3 linked regions of the Caenorhabditis elegans genome follow. The protein of the gene in region 3 interacts with the protein of the main gene of each other region in a pairwise test. Each region holds a gene or a part of one and is shown on either strand. Other genes may lie near its edges.

Region 1 (5,470 bases), on a different chromosome or scaffold from region 3:
AAAATATTGCTATTTAATATTTTCATATTAGATTTGAGTTGCCTGAGAATTGGAGTTTTAAAAAATCGAAAACGAGGTGCAAACGCGTTTCAACACCAAATGAAAACGATCCGCCCCCAAACGTTGGGTCTCATTGGGTATTGGCGGCAAAACCAGAAATTCAAACGTTTTCGAACATTATTCAACTGTTTTGTTCTTTTTCGTGATTTTTATGTGGTATAAAAATATAAAAATATAAAAAAAAACGTATCTGAAATTGAAAAATGAATACGCTCGTTTGATTCGGTTTTATATGTTCTTTTTGACATTAAAAAATAATTTTTTAAAAACAGAAAAAATTACAAAAAAGGTCTAAAAACTCTTGAAACCGGCGAAATCAGCGAAAATAATTTGAATTTCTGGTTTCCGGCCGCCAATTCCTAACGAGACCCGTCGTTTAGGGCGGAGCTTTTCACTTGACTATGAGGCGCGCTATTTTCTGCTGCCCAATAATATCTTTGAAAGTATGTTTCAAATTGGCAACAAAACAATTATTAAAACCCGTTTATTGAGCTGAAAATAAATTGTCTAATTTCTTAAAATATATTTTTATCCATTCATGTTTCATCGGGCTCATTGGCTTTGAATTTCAAAGCTTCATCGTCAGAATGAGATCTGAAACACATCGATTTACTTGATTATTACTTATAAGTTCCCCCAAACCTCATATGCGTACGAATCCCTCGCATACTGAATGCTCGGTAGCCGCACACCAAACATGTGAATGTCTTCGTTGTCTGATGCGATGATCGAATGTGCATAGATAGCTGCGAGGACGATGTCGGCACAAAATCGCATTTTGTACACTTCTCCGGTACCTACAAATCTCCTTTTTTTTCTTTCTTTTTTCGTTCTCAACTCAAGCTTGTGCACAAGCTCTCTTTCACTGGCTCGCCATAATTCAAGATTGCAATCAGAAAGAGGCTCGGAGAGATCACGAAAACTGATAAACTGGGAAATGAAGAAACTGAGAAATAAAAGTGTATCTCACCTTTCTCAAAGAATCATTTCTGTGTGGTCCACCACCTGGAGATGATACACGAGTTGTGTGGCTACAGTACAGTTGCTTATGCGCGTCATACGTGGTCTGAGACGAAAACGAGACTCCACAAGTGCACGAGAATGGTCTTTCCGGGTAGATTGGCTCACTGCTCGAGCTTTTTGAAGTTGGAGAACAACTGGCTGAGAGTGATGGAACACTTGGTGCATGGGGTGATGAGGATAAATCCAGAGGAGTTGAAGTTCTTACATTCCTGAATAGAAAAATAAAATAAAAAAGATTTTCATTTATTACGAGAACACGAAATTCTGAAAATGCGTATTACGCAACATATTTGACGCGCAAAATATCAAAACTACAGTAGTTCTTTAAATGACTATTGTAGCGCTTGTGTCGATTTACGGGATCGTTTTTCGAAATGAATTATTTATCAATAGAATATTAAAAATTAGAAACGAATGGAATATCACTGCCGCTTTTCAAAAATATATGCGAACAAGCCCATAAATAGGCACAAGCGCTACAGTAGTCAATTAAAGTAGTTTTCGCTTCGAGATATTTTCGCGTCAAATTTGTCGCACATTTGTCGCATTCTGAGTTTTGTATTCCCGTTATATAAAGGTTAAAAATGTTCCTTTTGAAATCAAGGTCCGCCCCTAAACGTTGGGTCTCGATAGGTATCGGCGCCAAAACTATCAATTTAAATTATTATGTTTTGTCGCCTGTCGTTTTAATTATTTTTAATTTCAAAAATGATGATATAAAAATGCATTCTTCAAACATCATTTTGACATGAATACATATCATGAAAAACAGCAAAAAAGTCGAAAAATGGTTGAAAACGTTTGGATTTTGCCGTCAATTCCTACCAGGACCACATGGAGTCAGAAAGTCCCATTTCGCTTTGATCTTCAAAAAATGGCGGGAGGAGAGACGCAGACATCTCATCTGATTTTGCATGATTAAGAGCATGCTGACGTCACATTTTTTCCGGAAAAAAATTCCCGCATTTTTTGTAGATCAAAGTGCAATGAGACTGTTTGACACCACGTGCAGGACCCCACATTTCGGGGCGGAGCGTTTTTAATTATCTGTGGAGCGCGCTTGCATAATAAGACTGTGTTGCAAAAGAAAAAACCAACTTCTCATCCAAATTGATAATAGGAATCTGCACGGAGAGTTTCGAAGTTGAAAAGTTTGGCATTTCCAATTTTCTCTTGTTATGAATGAGCAAAGGATTTGAGTTGATTAATGCCGAATTTCGTCCAATAGTAACAGGACCCACTACCTAAAAGTTCAATTGAAATTAACAACTAGCTTTCAAACTGAGTTACCTGAAAGGGATTCTGCTGAAAGAGGTCATGAAACGCCATTGGCAACAAAATAACATTTTGTTGTTTTCGAGAATCCGCATTTTCAACTACATTTCCGAGTTTCTTCTTACTACAGTACAAATCTTCATGAACTTTCAAATTGTGAAGGGAGTTGAATTTTGCCACGTGACAGTGTGGACATTCGTGTTCTGAAATTTCGAAATGCAGTTCTTTTCGAAAAGCAAAAAAGCTCACTTTTCTCCAACTTTTCTTGCTCCAGACGATAGTTCATATCAGCGACAAGAATGGCTCGAAGTGGCTCCACGGTCGTCAGATTTTTTGTGAAAAGAATTGTGAACACGGGACCTGAAACATTGGCCTAGGTGAAGTTGAAATTTCAAAAAAGTCGTTTGGTGGACTAATTAGTGAAAGCTAGGCAGGACATGAATTGTCTTTGAGTGCAAAAATATCCGTTTGGGTGGCCTAGTTTTCAATTTCTAGGCCATGTCGTGTGGCTCGCATACCTGTCTGCATAATGACACAATTAGCTAGAAGTGGACCTTGGGCTGCTTGAATTCTCCGCGTCACTGGATTCGATTCCATCTCGAAACCCATCGATTCACCGGTGAAGTTGGAGAGCTGGAAATTAAGGAGGTTCTACGGTGCATTTGTGCGGGGAATATGGTGTATTGTGTCTGTCGAATCAGAAGAATTCAATGCGCCAAAAGTTACGCGCAAATTTGAGAACCCACCGGTAGTCAGAATCCAGTTTTGATCTACAGATATTGCGCCAACTTCTATAACTTACAGTATATGCTTTAACTTACAGTAATCCTCAACAGTTGTCCATTGCCGCTCACAGAATACGGTCCAACACAATCGCCACATCTAAACTCGATTGGTGCGGTCATAACTTGTTTTCGTATTGACTGCAAACTTTTGATGATAATTCAGTCCTCAATATTCAACAAAAAAAGTTTTACGCGATGTGTAAATTTAATTTTCTAATTTTTTTTGCGTTATTTTTGTAATTTTGAATTTATATTTATCATCATTTCCCTATTCATTAATCAATATTTTTGTTTGTCAAATGTAGCGTTTTGGGTCTCGCAACGCTTAATTCTTTTGAGTTTACTGTACTGTAATTTCACCTTTCATAAGAAAACCGATAATAAAAATAAGAACAAATCAAATTTCAACAAGTTGTCAGAAAAAGGTGCAAGATAACATTACTTATTAGAAGAGCACACCTTTTTGCATTTCACAAAAATTTGTAGTGTCGAGACCGGGTTTGAAGCAAAAATCAAAAAATCTACTGTAACTCACGCTAGCTATTGTATTATGCAGAATCGATTGGTTTACATCCATTGTATATAAATGAAGTGGCCGAATGAGAAAACGAAAGAAGAGGCTTCCGACGAAGAAAGATGGGCTCGAGTGAGCGATAAGATCTCAGGGACAACGCGGGGCGCAGAGCAAGTTGTGCGTGCTCCGGCACTCCGAGTCACACAGATTTTGATGATAAGGTGAAGAAGAAGAAGACAAAAGGAAGATTGGGAAGAGCAGATGAAGTGACTGAACAACTGAAATAGATTGAATCTCCGGTTGGAATGAATATTAGATTAGTAGAGATTTGAGAGGAAAAGTTGAGTAGTGAACATTGCGCGTGAAATGTGATGCATTGAGTTGGCAGGTGCTTTAAGAGCAAAATATGAAATTTTAATAGAGAAAATCTAATGTTTTAAACTTCTGAATATTGCTTTGTTTTTGAAATTAATTATTTATGAGAATCTCCAAAGTACTGTCAGATTGAAGCCTTTTACCTTAGTGCATAATTTGAGCTACGGTAATTATTTTTTTGCGTATTAAATGTGCTTACACTTCAACAGTTTAAAGGTACATAGATGTTTCTAGAATATTTTCATAGATGGCTGATTCAAAATTAAAAGCTCTATATAGTAAAGTAATATTATAACATTGACTTTTGCCTACCGAATATCTCAATTATCGCCGTCTTCCTTACTGATCATTATCTACCCCAATTTTTATCTTTAATCAGTTACCACAATCTCTTATCATCTGTGATTCAGTTTAACTATACATGTAGGGATGTTCCCAGTTGTCGACTGTAGACATTTCACTAGGTTGAGGCGTGACGGGGGCGCCTCTCTCTCTCTCTCTCTCTCTCTCTCTCTCTCTCTCTCTCTTCGCCCTTCTCGCGCCCTATCCGTGCAATTCACTTATATACACGCTATAGCTATACAGCGAACTTTATTTTCTTCTTCTACGGTTTCAAAGGCGCACGTATTTATGCGAAATGGTCTCACCACGCGTTACTCATTAATGTTTTTTTTTTTCAATCAATGGGTTGCGCGTAGCGAGGCCATTCCGCTTAAATACGCGTTTATTTTTTTATCAATATAATATCAATTGGAATTATTTTAAATGAAAGAGAAAAAACCCCAAAGCAGAGTTCAAAAGATGTTCGTGCACGATCGTGTAGCAGCAAATCGGCGGCCGAGTTTTTTCTTTCATTTCCGCGGCCGCACAATAATCATGACGGTTTTACTGCATGACCAAGAGAGAGAGAGAGAGAGAGAGAGAGAGAGAAAATCTCGGCCATCAAGGTTTTCATGCAAAATTCAAGTTATCGACAGTTTCCGAAACGCAAAAACATGTGCCAATTTTTTCTCAGAAAAAAACTCACGAAAAATCAGGATAGTGCATACTATAAAAAATAAAATACTGAAAGTATGTATTCTCACAGTTCTCTCTAAAAGCCGCCACGTGGCAATGTCAAAAATTCAAAAGTGCCACCGGTTTTTTTCGAATTAAAACTCAAAAAAGTGATAAAAATGTATTATTACTGATGAAAATGTGAGGAAGAGGAAAAAGAAAGTGAGCCTGTGTGATATTATCATATCAGTTGAATTGAATCAGTGGAGTATGTGCTGATAGGGTTTCTTATCAGTTTCAACTAAAAAAACTAAACGACACCGATTGATTGCAAAACATCAGCTGATTGCAGATGTATGACGTGGCAGGAGGCACTGAAAAGCAAAAAAAGGTTCAGGAAATGTAGGAAAAAGGAAAAGCGGTGATAAAACTATAAAATATG
Region 2 (5,019 bases), on a different chromosome or scaffold from region 3:
AATTTCGACGGATTCGTTGAATTGTTCATATGTAAATGTGGGAATTCGAGTAGTTGGTTGAAAAACTCTAATATTTGGAATTCGAGGACGAGGTAGTTGAGGTTTTACACAAGATTCTGCCATTTCTGAAAATATCGATTTTTATTTTTCGACGTTAATTTTTTATGGGCCTTCCTGGACCTTTAGAAAGTTTTTAGCAAATTAAAAAAGGTATATCTAAAAAAATTTGTTTTGGATTTTGTGAAATTTGAAAAAAACAATTAATTGGTTTTTTACATTCTAAACCCTTTTAAAACATTTTATAGAAAATTGGGCTCAAAAAAAAAGTACCGCTACATTTTTTCGAACTGCTCAAAAATAGCTTGCTGAAAGTTTGAAAATGTTAAAAAAAATTTCAAAATCTCATCTTTTCAATTTTTGCGAAAGGAGAAAGTTTCAAAATATATTGGCAAACAATAAAAAAAAAGCAAGTATAATTAAACAGTAAAAATACTGAATACGGAAAAGAAAAAAAATTTGAAAAATCTGAGAAAAAAAATCTTTATTAAAAAAAGAAGCAAAAAGAAACTCGTAGGTTAACCAAAATAAACTGAAAATTGTGAGAATTAATTCTCACAATTTTTCTAGAATTTGAATGAAAAAAATGGTTAAAAAATGCAAAATTTAATAGTGGCCTAGAAATTTGAAATTTGAATAACTCTTCCATTTTAAAAACTAATTGCTGGGTGGAATAGAAAACTGAATATATGAAGTAGAAAATGCTAGTTACCCTATAAGTTGCCTAGATATTGGAAAATGAAAGAGCTTTTTCAAGTTTCTGGTCAAAAATGAACAGTTTTTTGATCTTCCATGCTTCCTCCTTGCTCCACAAATTCCTCTTCATCATCTTCAAAATGAGCCAAGATCTTGACGTCATCACCATCACCAGTGAGCATTATAATCTGATTGTTCTGTTCATGATCATCTTCATAAACAATAACTGAATCCTGTGATTCCTCGTGATTCACTTGAACATGATCGAAAATTGGTGTGAAGAGCTCGGGATGTGCATTTTTTCGATGTCTCATGAGATATACACGACGAGCAAATACTGCATTACATCCTTTTACAACGCATGTGTAACGTTTTATACCTGGAATGTTTCAAAAATTGTAATTTTTGTAGATGACTACTCTTTTAAATATTTTTGAGTTAACATATTTTCAATAACACTCTTAATTTGAGAAAATTCTAAAATTTGCAACAAAAAAAAATGGAAATTGCTTTCTTTTTCTAAATTACCCCCGGTTTTAACCCAAATTTCGGATAGTAAAATATATTTTGAATATTTACCAGTGTGTACAGTCATTTCATGTTCTTTTCTAACAGAATCCGTTACAAAAGACAATCCACATCTCCAAGTACATTCAAATGGACGTTCTCCAGTATGCATTCGACGAATATGTACTTTTAAAGAGCTCGCTTTTGACAATGACAAGCCACATTCTCCACATTCAAATGGTTTTTCGCCTGTGTGTGTTCGGATATGATCCTGAAAAATGGGAAAGAAATTTGTATTTAAAAATAAATTTATCTTTCTTTTTTTTATTAAAAATTGTAATTTTTGATTTCAAAGTTTAGAAAATTCAACAATTTTCGATATAATAAATCATATTATATTTTTCTAGAAATTTCAGAACTTGAGAGGTTTATAAATAGAGAGAAAATTGGAAATTTTGTTTTTTAACACATTTAAACCTATAAGCTTTGATTTAAAAAATTTTAATTACAAATATTTTTTTCTGTTTGCTCAGAAAATCAAGTTTCGAATGCTTTTTATCGAAAAAATTGTTTCTCTGTCCAATTCTCAATTTTTCAGCAAAAATTCAGCTTGTGGGCACTGAAATAATTTTAATTTTTCATTTTTCACCAAAATTCGTTTTTTATCGAAAAAAAAACTAACAGCAATTTTGCTCGGATGTTTAAGCATTAATCCACAAATATTGCATTGTGCAAGTGTTGCTCTTCGATTTGAAATATATGCTCTTTTCTGAGGAGCTTTTTCTGGTTCTTCGATCGGAATTTCTTCATCAATCGGAGCCAAAACTCGAGCCAATACTGTATTAATAACGTCATCAATTCGAGCATTAGATATTGCAGCTTTTTCCATTTCTTTTTCTGATGGATATATAGATTGTTTTGTTGTTTGATTTGATGATTGAAATTGAGAAGGTGAAGAGGAAGAAGTTGATGGATCACTTTGAAATATTGAGTCTCTGCAAAGTTATTTTAATTTCTTTTAAATTTACCAATTCGGAAATAAGATGGAAGTTTTCGAATTTAGAAATTTTCAGGAGTTTTATTTAAATTATCAAAGTTTTTTATTAATTAAAACACCGATTTTTTAAATGTTGTTTTAAAATTTGTTAAAGAACAAAAAGTGTTAAAATCTCAATTTTAAAGATTGCTGATTAAACACCGCAATTCACTTTTTAAAAAATGTAAAATCTTATAATTCTTGTTTTTTGTTGTAATTTTTATTTATTTTATCAAGTTTAGTTCACTTCTGCATATACTTACATCGTTGGTGGTGATATATAATTAGCTAGTGCAGAATTTGAAAGTATATCCATATCCATTGATGGACAAACAATCTTTTTAACTGGTTTCAGATAAGGCCGTGCCGGTCCTGCTCGCTTCTGCAAAAAATATATCTTATTCCGGTAATCTTTTAGGATATAAATGCTTGATTCGATGTTTTAAATTTTTCTATAGCATAAAAACTTTTCTTACCAATCCATTATGGCTTAATTCGTGTGCAGTTCTGCGTGAATTATTCACAAATCGTTTGCCACAACCGAAATTACACAGAAATGGGAGATCACCCATGTGTTGAACACGAAAATGGTTAATCATTGGAGTTCTTTGAGTGAATCTCATTCCACAAATGTCACATTCGTATGGTTTTTCGCCTGTGTGAGTTCTCATGTGTTCCTGAACAAATAAAAATCTTCATTTTGTTATAAAAATAAAATATTCTGTACCATAATCCTCGATGGATATTTCAACGCAACTCCACATACTTCGCACGTCGTCACCGTCGGCAACTTTTGATTTCCTTTCCTTCAATTTTATATTTAATAAATTTTTAGCACAAAAATTTCATACTTTTTTCTGTATGTCGAATCTGGAATCTTGACAATCTCCTCGAGCTCTTCGTGCTCTTTTTGCGCGTCGGGAGTGCACTCAGCTGCCCATTCCTCGAAAATTGCATCGGAATTCTGAAAATTTTTGATTTTCTTAATGAAAATTGGAAAACTAAATTGAAATTAGTTATTTTACTTGCGATAAATGTACTACTTCGTCTAAATCCTCGTTATTCTTCATTTTGGTTGTTTATCGAATTTTAGGATCTGGAAAAATACACAATTAATGGCAATAAGGAAGATTTAATCATATAAACATAAAAATTTTAAAGATTAATAATATTTATATGAAAGGAAAAATTCAACAAAAACTGTTTTAAATAGAAGAAAAAGTCAAATATTGATTTTTTGCGAATAAAAAATAAAATTGAAAATAAACAACGACACTCCGATATCCCGTCTTCGAAAGAGCGCGAAATTTGAATTGAGGGTTTAATAAATATAATTCTTTGCAACGGCTGAAATCTTGTTTCTTAACGAGACAGAAGAAGAAGTAATGAATAGATCATTGCCATCACATCTTCATTTCCATTCAAATATTGGAGTTTAATCTTTAAATTGATAAAAGCCGTTCGGATAACATACGAGTAGAAAATGTTCATAGTGAAACAGCAGCACGTTGATCATGCAAATTCATAAGGAAATCAGGAAGTTTTACGAGTCTAAGAAATAGGCGAATGTTTTGTGTTGTGTATTGAGCGTTAGACAAGGAGATTTACGTAGATAGAATATTTTACTTTTAACGTAGATAGAATATTTATTATGAACATACGAGAAGGAATGTGAATAAAGGCTCAATACTCGAGAAATCGAAGAAAAAGAAATTGAGATGCAACATGGAATTTAATAACGATCTCCGTGATGGCGTGAGCGATCTCTTGAATAATCCCGCTTTCTTCTTCTATAGTCACGACGATGGTGATGCTCTGAACGTCTGGGGGTCCACTCATCTGTCGAGGGGCTTCGGCGACCACGCTGTGAAATTTACAGATAGATTTAGTTGGTTTTTTCGCATGATCGAGGAATAAACTAGGTCATTTTGCAAATTACTCACCCTCTGGTTTCTCAATGGCGATTTCGGTGTATGTTCCCTGTTACGTGGCTGGTGTCCTGCTCCACGTCCCCGTTGATTAGATGGAGACATCGGCGATCGCCTTGAGGGGCCCTCCTCCCGCTGCTCGGAGACGTCTGAAATGTTTGAAATCGAAACGATGGTCTGGGACCGCTTTGCTTCCGGAGAGATGAGGTTCCGGAATCAGCTTGTCCACAGCTAGAGTTGACAATGGTGCACCGAAAGACGAAGAACTCGCCCTATTCCCAAAAAAGTTCCCAAAAGCTGGCTGGGCCAAGCGAGGAGTGGAAGGACCTGTAAAGTCGAAGCTGCCTTCTCCAGATCTTTCCTCGACGGCTGGGATTGATGACCCGGAGACCGCACGATCGGAGAGGAATCCTAGACGTGCTGGTGCAGATGAATCTTCTGGCGCCTTTCCACGTGAGCTGGTAGGAACAACATTCTCTAACCGTGACATAGTCACAGTCTTGATGAACTGAACATCAGGAGATGAGGAGCCATCTCTCTGAGGCCCTCTGGAGTCTTTTGGGAGCTGGCGTACTTCGCAAAAACCCATATTTGGTGCAGGGCTCCTTGTAGTAACCTCTTCTTTAATTGGAAGAGCTGATGTGGAAGAACTGTTGAGCTCTACATCGATTTCCGGAACCTGGTGGCTGTAGGATGTTTTCTTCCTCGAGATCTGATTGAAACACGGAAGATCATCATAAGCAGGAGTTCCTCCAGTCCTCCGAGTGTTGTGGGCATAATTGGAGGAAGTCCTAT
Region 3 (7,060 bases):
AAAAATGTTCATTGAACGATTTAAAATTAAGCTGAAATGAGCCAAAACCTCGTAAATGGAGACGTGTTCGTTCAAAGGCGCGCGCACTTTCACCACTGGGTCTCGCCGCGATTTGGGAACTCTCTCGAATTATTTGAATTTCTGCCGTTTTATCATCTTCATTATGCGTTTCCATGGCAATTTTCCTGAAGAACATTCGCGACTTTATATTTCTAATCCATTTACGTTTATATTCAATGCCATTCGCACTTAAAATATATCGATTTTGGCCAATAGTCCTTGTATTTAGGAGAAAAAGGTTGTAAGAGAAAAATCAATCGAAAAAAGAAATTAAGTGGACAATTCTTGCTTGTTATTGCCGTGATATGAAAACATTTTCATCTGATGGCTTTATTTTCGTCAATTTGCATAATCATGCTAATTTCAACTGTGCGCTTATTTATATGTCGTGCACCTTCCTTGAATTTTATTGATTATTGTTCGTATCCGTCTAGTTCTCTTTTCGAATTACAGGCAAAAACCATGGCTAAGCAACCAACAGTTCTCTGGGCCCAGCGTGAATCACTTGTCTATCTGACCATCGAGGTTGATGAGGCGAAAATCGAGGAACTGAAAGGAGAGGGAAACAAGCTTCACTTCCAGTACGTTTCGGATTAATATTTCGATTTCTATTTTAAATGTTTAAATACGATATGAAGCATATTTCTTGCTTCCTAAATATTCACAGAATGTTCATGATGGTACATAGAATGAGTCGTAATTCGTAAATTTTCAGAGGAAGCAGCAAAACTGACAAGTACGAAGCAACTCTCGAATTCTTCGACGAAATCGATCCTGCATCCGTAAAGCACACTGGATCTTCAACCCGCGTCGTTGAGATCACAGTTCAGAAGAAGACCCCAGCCTGGTGGCCAAGACTTCTTCAAAACAAGGGAAAGGTCCATTGGTTGAAGGTTGACTTTGGAAAATGGAAGGATGAAGACGAGGATGATGAGGCTGAGGATGCCGGAGCCGGAATTGGCGGTGGAATGGCGAACGGATTCGATTTGAACCAGTACATGTCCCAGATGGGAGGAGCTGGCGGAGCAGACTTCGGAGGTCTTGAGGATGATGAGGAAGATGACGGTAAGTATTAAGTGCAATAATATCCTTTTTGCTTACTATTAGTAATTCGTTAATGATAGAAAACCAATGTAGTATTAAAATGTTATTTATTATAAAAAATTTTCAGATATGCCAGATCTCGAAGACAACGAAGAGGAGGAAGGAAAGAACGGAACGAGAGCTTAAGCAACTCCTCAAGTCCCAATTGTTTCATTAAAAATACAATTTGAATTTCTCTAATTTAATTCTTTATTCATTTTTCTCTATCCCGATTATTCCTCTTCCAGTTTGTGAACGCTTCACGTATCTCAGTCACAGAGTTTCATTTATTGTTTCCACTTTAAATATTTATTGAGTAAAGTGATATCACACCCATCTTCTTGCAGTGAACTTGTGAATTCTGACGGCTTAATTTTTATCCCGCATTCGTTTTTCTAATCAGTTTCCATGGGCAAGAACACAATTGGTAAGGCTCTGGTAATACTTTTCTAAAGTTGTTACTTTTTTTAAAATGTGAGCATACAAGGTATTTAATTTTGTCTTCTTTGTGGATCCACATGGAGAAAAAACTCCTGAAGACATAAATTTTACTCATTCAAGCTGGATAATATCATTCAAATCATATCATTCAAGTTAATACGCTTTTTCCGATCAATCATCTGAATCACAGCCAGAGATTAAATTATGAAATCGTATTTTTAAGATATGAACCAATTAGTGTGTCCATTGTGCTGCGAAACGCTGAAAGAGGAAGGCGCACACTTCTACAAACATTTTAAGTACAAGTGAGGATTTTAAATGTTATTTCTATTATTAAATTCATATATAATTTTAGGAGATATGCATGCGGAGAGAGCACATGTGATATGGGATTCTACACACAACAGGAGCTCAATGCTCATTGCTCGAAACACGGACACAAGCGCTCTTTTCAGGTTTTGAGACGATTTTCTACAATTAAAAATATTGTTTTTTTTCTTCAGAAGACAGTAAACCCATACATTGACAAAATGATATCGGTTGTTGTGGAAGACGCATACGCCCTAGCGACTGACGATATGGAAACTGTGCTTGAGAAGCGATGGGGAAGAGATCCGAGATCAGTGTCACCGACTTCACCTGTTAAAAAGACTCCTACTGATAGTGCAAAGAATAAAAGAAGTTCCGTCGTAACTCCAACATCTCCTCCAGTGCCAAAAAAGGCAAAATCGGGAACTTCTACGACTTCACCATTTGCATTTTTAAATAGAAGAACAAATAATTCTGAGAGGTATTTATTCACTAAATACAATTTTAACAATGCCTAGATTCCGACAAAGCCCTCGTTTTAAAAATGATATATTCAGCTCACTCTGCCCCAACGCCTCCTCAACATCAGCTCAGCCAGCTTCATCAAGTTCAGCTCAAGCTATAGTTGATTCAACAACCAGTGAACATAATATATCTATTGATAAAACAAAGAAACCGAGGAAGAAAAGAAACGAGTCAATGACAGCAGCTCAAAATCAAGAGAAAGCTGGAAAAAATGCAAATTACGATGAAATGTCAGCGATTGATAAACTAATTGGATGGTTTGATCCAAATGTTCCAGAGAGACGAGATGCTGCAAAAGTGAAATGTGCGGTTTGTAATGAAGAAATAGTTTATGATTTTAGTGAGTTTTTGAAATCTCTAAATTCGAATTTAGTTTTTATCTTACAGTTCTCCGAAAAGGACACGTGACTCGTTCCCACATGGCAGCTGATGTAGCACCAGAAGATTATGATGATTTGCTGAAAACTGCGGTATGTACAGGAAAACAAATTAAATTGAGAACAAGGCTGTGCAGCAAATCTACAAAAACAAATTTAAAAAAGGAATATGATATTTCATTTTGAGGCAAATCTGAATTCGAGAAGGAAAAAAAAAGAATTATTCTTATTTTTTTCGAAACAAAAAACGAAAAATCTACAGCCCTGACGGTGACTTTCCTGCACTTTTTGAGATAATTTTCGAGTTTTTTTCTCAAAAATAAATATCATATTCAGATCGAATGAACATTTCCCCCACACTGTTATATTAATTTTTAATTTGAATTAATTGATTATCATACTGAAATTATAAGTTTTGACCCTGTATCTACATTTATCCTAACTAGGTTGCAGTTTTTAAATTAAGAAAAAATGAGTTTCAGATGGATCGATCGTATCCAGATCTCCCAAATTCGGATCTTGCTTGTCAACTTTGCATGACTGGTGCTGAAGTTCGAAAAAATATGCGCCGAGAGCATATCGAGAAGCTGCACACGACGAGTCTTCCACCGCTAACATGTCCAGTTGGAGAATGTGAAAAAGGATTCAGAAGACAGTGTGATTTGAGTTCTCATATGAAAGATGTATAGTTTTATTTATTTAATTTATAATAAAGCTAGGAAATTGACAAAAAAAATCAAAGAATTCCAGACACACAAAGCGAGCATGGCAGTGTACAAAAATGCAACATTTCAACAAGTTCGTCGCCGTCGAAATGCTATGATAAACGAGATGATCAATAAATGCTTTCCGTGGTCTCGATTAGAAGCAATTGAGAATAAGACTGTAGTTGGGGTTTGTTGAATTATTAAAGTTTTCTGGGTAATTATGAGATTCAGGAGAAGTCGGATTCTGTTAACCGCGCTCCTGTCGATCGCTCGTTTGACACAGATGTTCGAGTGAGAGACGTTAACGTAAGTTTTTAGAAAAATTATCTACGGGAGTCATCACGACCAAGAGTGACATCCAAATTTTTTTTTAATTGAAATTTAATTTTTCAATTCTTACAAAACACATTTTCAGAAAACTCGCCGTGCTCCTCAATACAATGCGAACCGATCTTCGTCGTCCGATTCTGATTCAGAACATGAAGAAGCAGCGTCGGTGGCTACGGGAGAAGTTTCCGAAACTGGTGGAACCGATGATTTCCCGCAAGACGTCATATACATATGTCATCAATTCAATACGGAAGTTGCTCAAAAACTGTCGCAGATCGTCAGAATAAAGCCAGAGATCATTGATGTGGAAGACGTGCTTATGAATGATGTTACAATGGAAATAAATGAGATTCCAGTTAAAGAAGAAACAGAGGAAGAGCAACCGAAAGAGGAAAATAACAGGTAAAAATTGCATAGATTAAGCTTTATTCGTTTTTAAGTAGTTTTCTCGCTGCTTCCTGCAATCTTCTTTTCATCAACAGACAATTGTTGCGTTATCTCAAGTTTTCGAGTTTCCGTAGCCTGGGAAAATAAGAAAATATTTAGATTAGTCTAAAAATAAATACTCCTCACCTCTTTAGAGTTGCCCTTCAGTATTGCTTTCTCGAATTTCGGAAAATCGTCATCCAGCGTCACATACTCGGGATCTTTGCTTTCCTTCATTCCGGTCACAGTGCGTTTCGCGTCACTGTAATGAGAATGATTGGGAAATTAGTTATTATTGTGCTTACAGTTTTCTTGGTGGAGCTACAGATGGTCCATGTGACATTTCTGAAGCTTTTTCGGCAATCTTCTTGAGTTGAGACACCGCCTCGTTGTGTTCATCCTTTGCATCACGATCACTTTGCCTTGGTCCCTTGCTCTTCTGAAAAAAGTCATTTTCCAATAATAAATGCCTGAAAACTCTTGAGAATTGGCGAAACTAACTGAATTTTTTTTTAAATTTACGGTTTCGCCGCCAAACACCACTTTTATCTGCGCCCTTCTAATAATATTTCCATCCCTCTCTTACCTCCTTGGACGGAACTTTTGCCATTTTGCTTGCTCCCTTCTCTCCCGATTGAGCTGTTGTCGAATGTGAAATTGACTTCATTTCGGGATTAACACTTCCACCAGTACCAGGAGTCGATAGATTCTTCTTCGCCGATTTCATTTTCTTCTTCTGCTTACACTTTGTGACACACATTTTTGAACTACTACACACGTGCCTGGAAGTGTGCGGAAATTGTTCTTCAACGGAAACGATAGACGAAAAAAATAAACTCACTATTACAGTTCGATTTATTGAAAAATGATAATCGAACAGATGAGTGAAATGATTAAAAATAAGAACTGATGAAATTGAACCTTTTTGAATATTTCGTTTTGATGTTTTTTTCTTACGTAAATAGTTTAGATTAATATTTTTCTCCCGTAAGGTTACATATTAATTCCTTTTGAAAGTTTTTTGAAATTTTTTGAAAATTGCCCGTTTTTGGAAAGATTCAGTACTCCATATTATTTTATTATTTTCAGTACTCTACCATCAATTCCAATTCCATCAATCTTCTCACCATATGAGCCAATTGTTCCACCACCAGCTACATCTCCAGATCCAATGAATCCGCCAATTGCATCACTGCTTCCAACTCGAATTCTCAGTGCGACAAACGTTTTGGAGAATAAATATAATGAAAATGTGTGAGTTTTTACGAAATATCTGAAAATTAAAAAAAAACAACTTTTGATGTTTCCTATCAATTTTGCAAAATTAAAAAAAGATGGGCTAATTATTTTCAAATTCTCGCGTTAATGAATTGCCTAGTTTAACGTTTTCAGCTCGTTTTCCGCGAAAAAATTATTTATAACGGTGAAACTGTTTTTAAGTCAGTTTTGAAGTTTTAGTGAATTTATTTTGGCCTAAAAATTGAAAAACTCATCTTCATATTAAATATTTTTTATACTGAAAAACATTTGTTCAGCCAGGGAATTTAAAAATAATTAGCCCATCTTTAATTTAATTTAATTTTCATTTATATTTATTACGATAGTAAGATATGGAAAAAAAATCATTAAAAAATTATAAACGTTTTAATTTTTAAGCAGTTAAATTCAAAATCAGATCAGTTTTAACCATCATTACAATATATAATTTCTAATTTCAGTAGCTCAAGAAGATCGACATCACGTGAACGTTCTTCCAACAGAAACTACGATGAAAGATGGTCTCGAAATGACTACAGTAACCCTCGTAACTACAGCAATCGTTCATTCCATCAACGAAACCAACGGGGACATTCATCATCGAATCGTTTCAATTCTCCATTTGTTAGTCGAAATAACTACAACAACAATTCTGAAACAACTGAAGGATCTTCTCGTCGTTCCGAATATAATTCTTCGTCTTCCAATCATCATTCCCGTTCGTCATATCGTGGCAATCGAGATGATCGAGGCTCTCGATGGTAAAGCCGCCATCAATATTATATATGCATTTTCCTTCTAAAACCGTTCAATCTTCAAATATTTCCCTTAACCTTCCAGTATTCCAAATCAGCTTGTGCGAAATTTTAAGAAAATTTCTCGAAAAATCTAAATCTCCTTCGCTTTCAAACATCAAATTTAGTTTCTGTGTGTTAGTATATCCTAGCGTTTCATATCTAAGATAACAATTCTCAATTATCTCTTTTTAGTTAGCAATAAAATAATGCCATTGTTGTTTGACTTTAATTGTTGAATCTCTCGTTCTGTTTAAACGAATATTCCATGTGTGTTGTGTTTTATAATATTTTATTGCTTCTATCGTTCTCCAAAGTCTCGATTCAAAAATCCATGTTTCTAAATACGGAAGTGAAACTAAAACTGTTAAATCTAAAATTTTCGAATCAATATAAGTACATTTATTTACAGAAACAAAAAATTACAATTTCAACATATAAAATTACAAAAATCAACAAGAAAACGATATAATTTTAATACATTTCTTTTTCAAATGGATCATCAATCTTGACACTAAAATCCATTGATCGGTTCAAAAAATCGCGGAATTGTTCGATTAAACTGTCACGGCGACGACTTCCGATAGATTCCATGTGACAATCCATTGATGTATCAGATGCTGAAAATTTTTATAATATCAATAACTTTAGAGGGGAAAATTACCTGAAATATATTACCGAGACGCAAAACCTTACGATTTTTACACCAAACTAAGGCGTCCGGTCTCGAAACGACAAACATTTGTTCAAT

What was found. Proteins that work in one complex are often made in the same cells at the same time.
Region 1: the proteins of ztf-8 (region 3) and F21A9.2 interact in a two-hybrid assay, tested with the Caenorhabditis elegans proteins (one large-scale study listed by BioGRID).
Region 2: the proteins of ztf-8 (region 3) and let-391 interact in a two-hybrid assay, tested with the Caenorhabditis elegans proteins (one large-scale study listed by BioGRID).

What each region holds. Positions count from the first base shown.
Region 1 is NC_003279.8:3,705,501-3,710,970, forward strand, and holds F21A9.2 (C2H2-type domain-containing protein), read right to left. Parts: upstream 3,936-5,470; 5' UTR 3,721-3,935; coding exon 3,679-3,720; intron 3,282-3,678; coding exon 3,180-3,281; intron 2,992-3,179; coding exon 2,877-2,991; intron 2,719-2,876; coding exon 2,608-2,718; intron 2,562-2,607; coding exon 2,374-2,561; intron 2,328-2,373; coding exon 2,182-2,327; intron 1,293-2,181; coding exon 1,031-1,292; intron 858-1,030; coding exon 703-857; intron 655-702; coding exon 597-654; 3' UTR 530-596; downstream 1-529.
Region 2 is NC_003279.8:6,036,778-6,041,796, reverse strand, and holds let-391 (C2H2-type domain-containing protein), read right to left. Parts: upstream 3,395-5,019; 5' UTR 3,367-3,394; coding exon 3,340-3,366; intron 3,261-3,339; coding exon 3,148-3,260; intron 3,103-3,147; coding exon 3,024-3,102; intron 2,974-3,023; coding exon 2,773-2,973; intron 2,679-2,772; coding exon 2,560-2,678; intron 2,256-2,559; coding exon 1,943-2,255; intron 1,532-1,942; coding exon 1,333-1,531; intron 1,133-1,332; coding exon 822-1,132; 3' UTR 530-821; downstream 1-529. Other genes in the region: szy-5 (C2H2-type domain-containing protein), read right to left, coding at 1-123; C27A12.4 (C2H2-type domain-containing protein), read right to left, coding at 4,316-5,019.
Region 3 is NC_003281.10:5,268,219-5,275,278, reverse strand, and holds ztf-8 (C2H2-type domain-containing protein), read left to right. Parts: upstream 1-1,807; 5' UTR 1,808-1,809; coding exon 1,810-1,889; intron 1,890-1,939; coding exon 1,940-2,039; intron 2,040-2,087; coding exon 2,088-2,374; intron 2,375-2,450; coding exon 2,451-2,758; intron 2,759-2,805; coding exon 2,806-2,888; intron 2,889-3,277; coding exon 3,278-3,478; intron 3,479-3,545; coding exon 3,546-3,689; intron 3,690-3,733; coding exon 3,734-3,808; intron 3,809-3,917; coding exon 3,918-4,234; intron 4,235-4,243; exon of another isoform or gene 4,244-4,267; coding exon of another isoform or gene 4,268-4,354; intron 4,355-4,405; coding exon of another isoform or gene 4,406-4,520; intron 4,521-4,563; coding exon of another isoform or gene 4,564-4,697; intron 4,698-4,844; coding exon of another isoform or gene 4,845-5,018; exon of another isoform or gene 5,019-5,040; intron 5,041-5,099; exon of another isoform or gene 5,100-5,153; intron 5,154-5,347; coding exon 5,348-5,512; intron 5,513-5,976; coding exon 5,977-6,280; 3' UTR 6,281-6,524; downstream 6,525-7,060. Other genes in the region: Co-chaperone protein daf-41, read left to right, coding at 523-641, 776-1,125, 1,232-1,290; ZC395.4 (uncharacterized protein), read right to left, coding at 4,268-4,354, 4,406-4,520, 4,564-4,697, 4,845-5,018; ZC395.5 (Ovule protein), read right to left, coding at 6,784-6,929.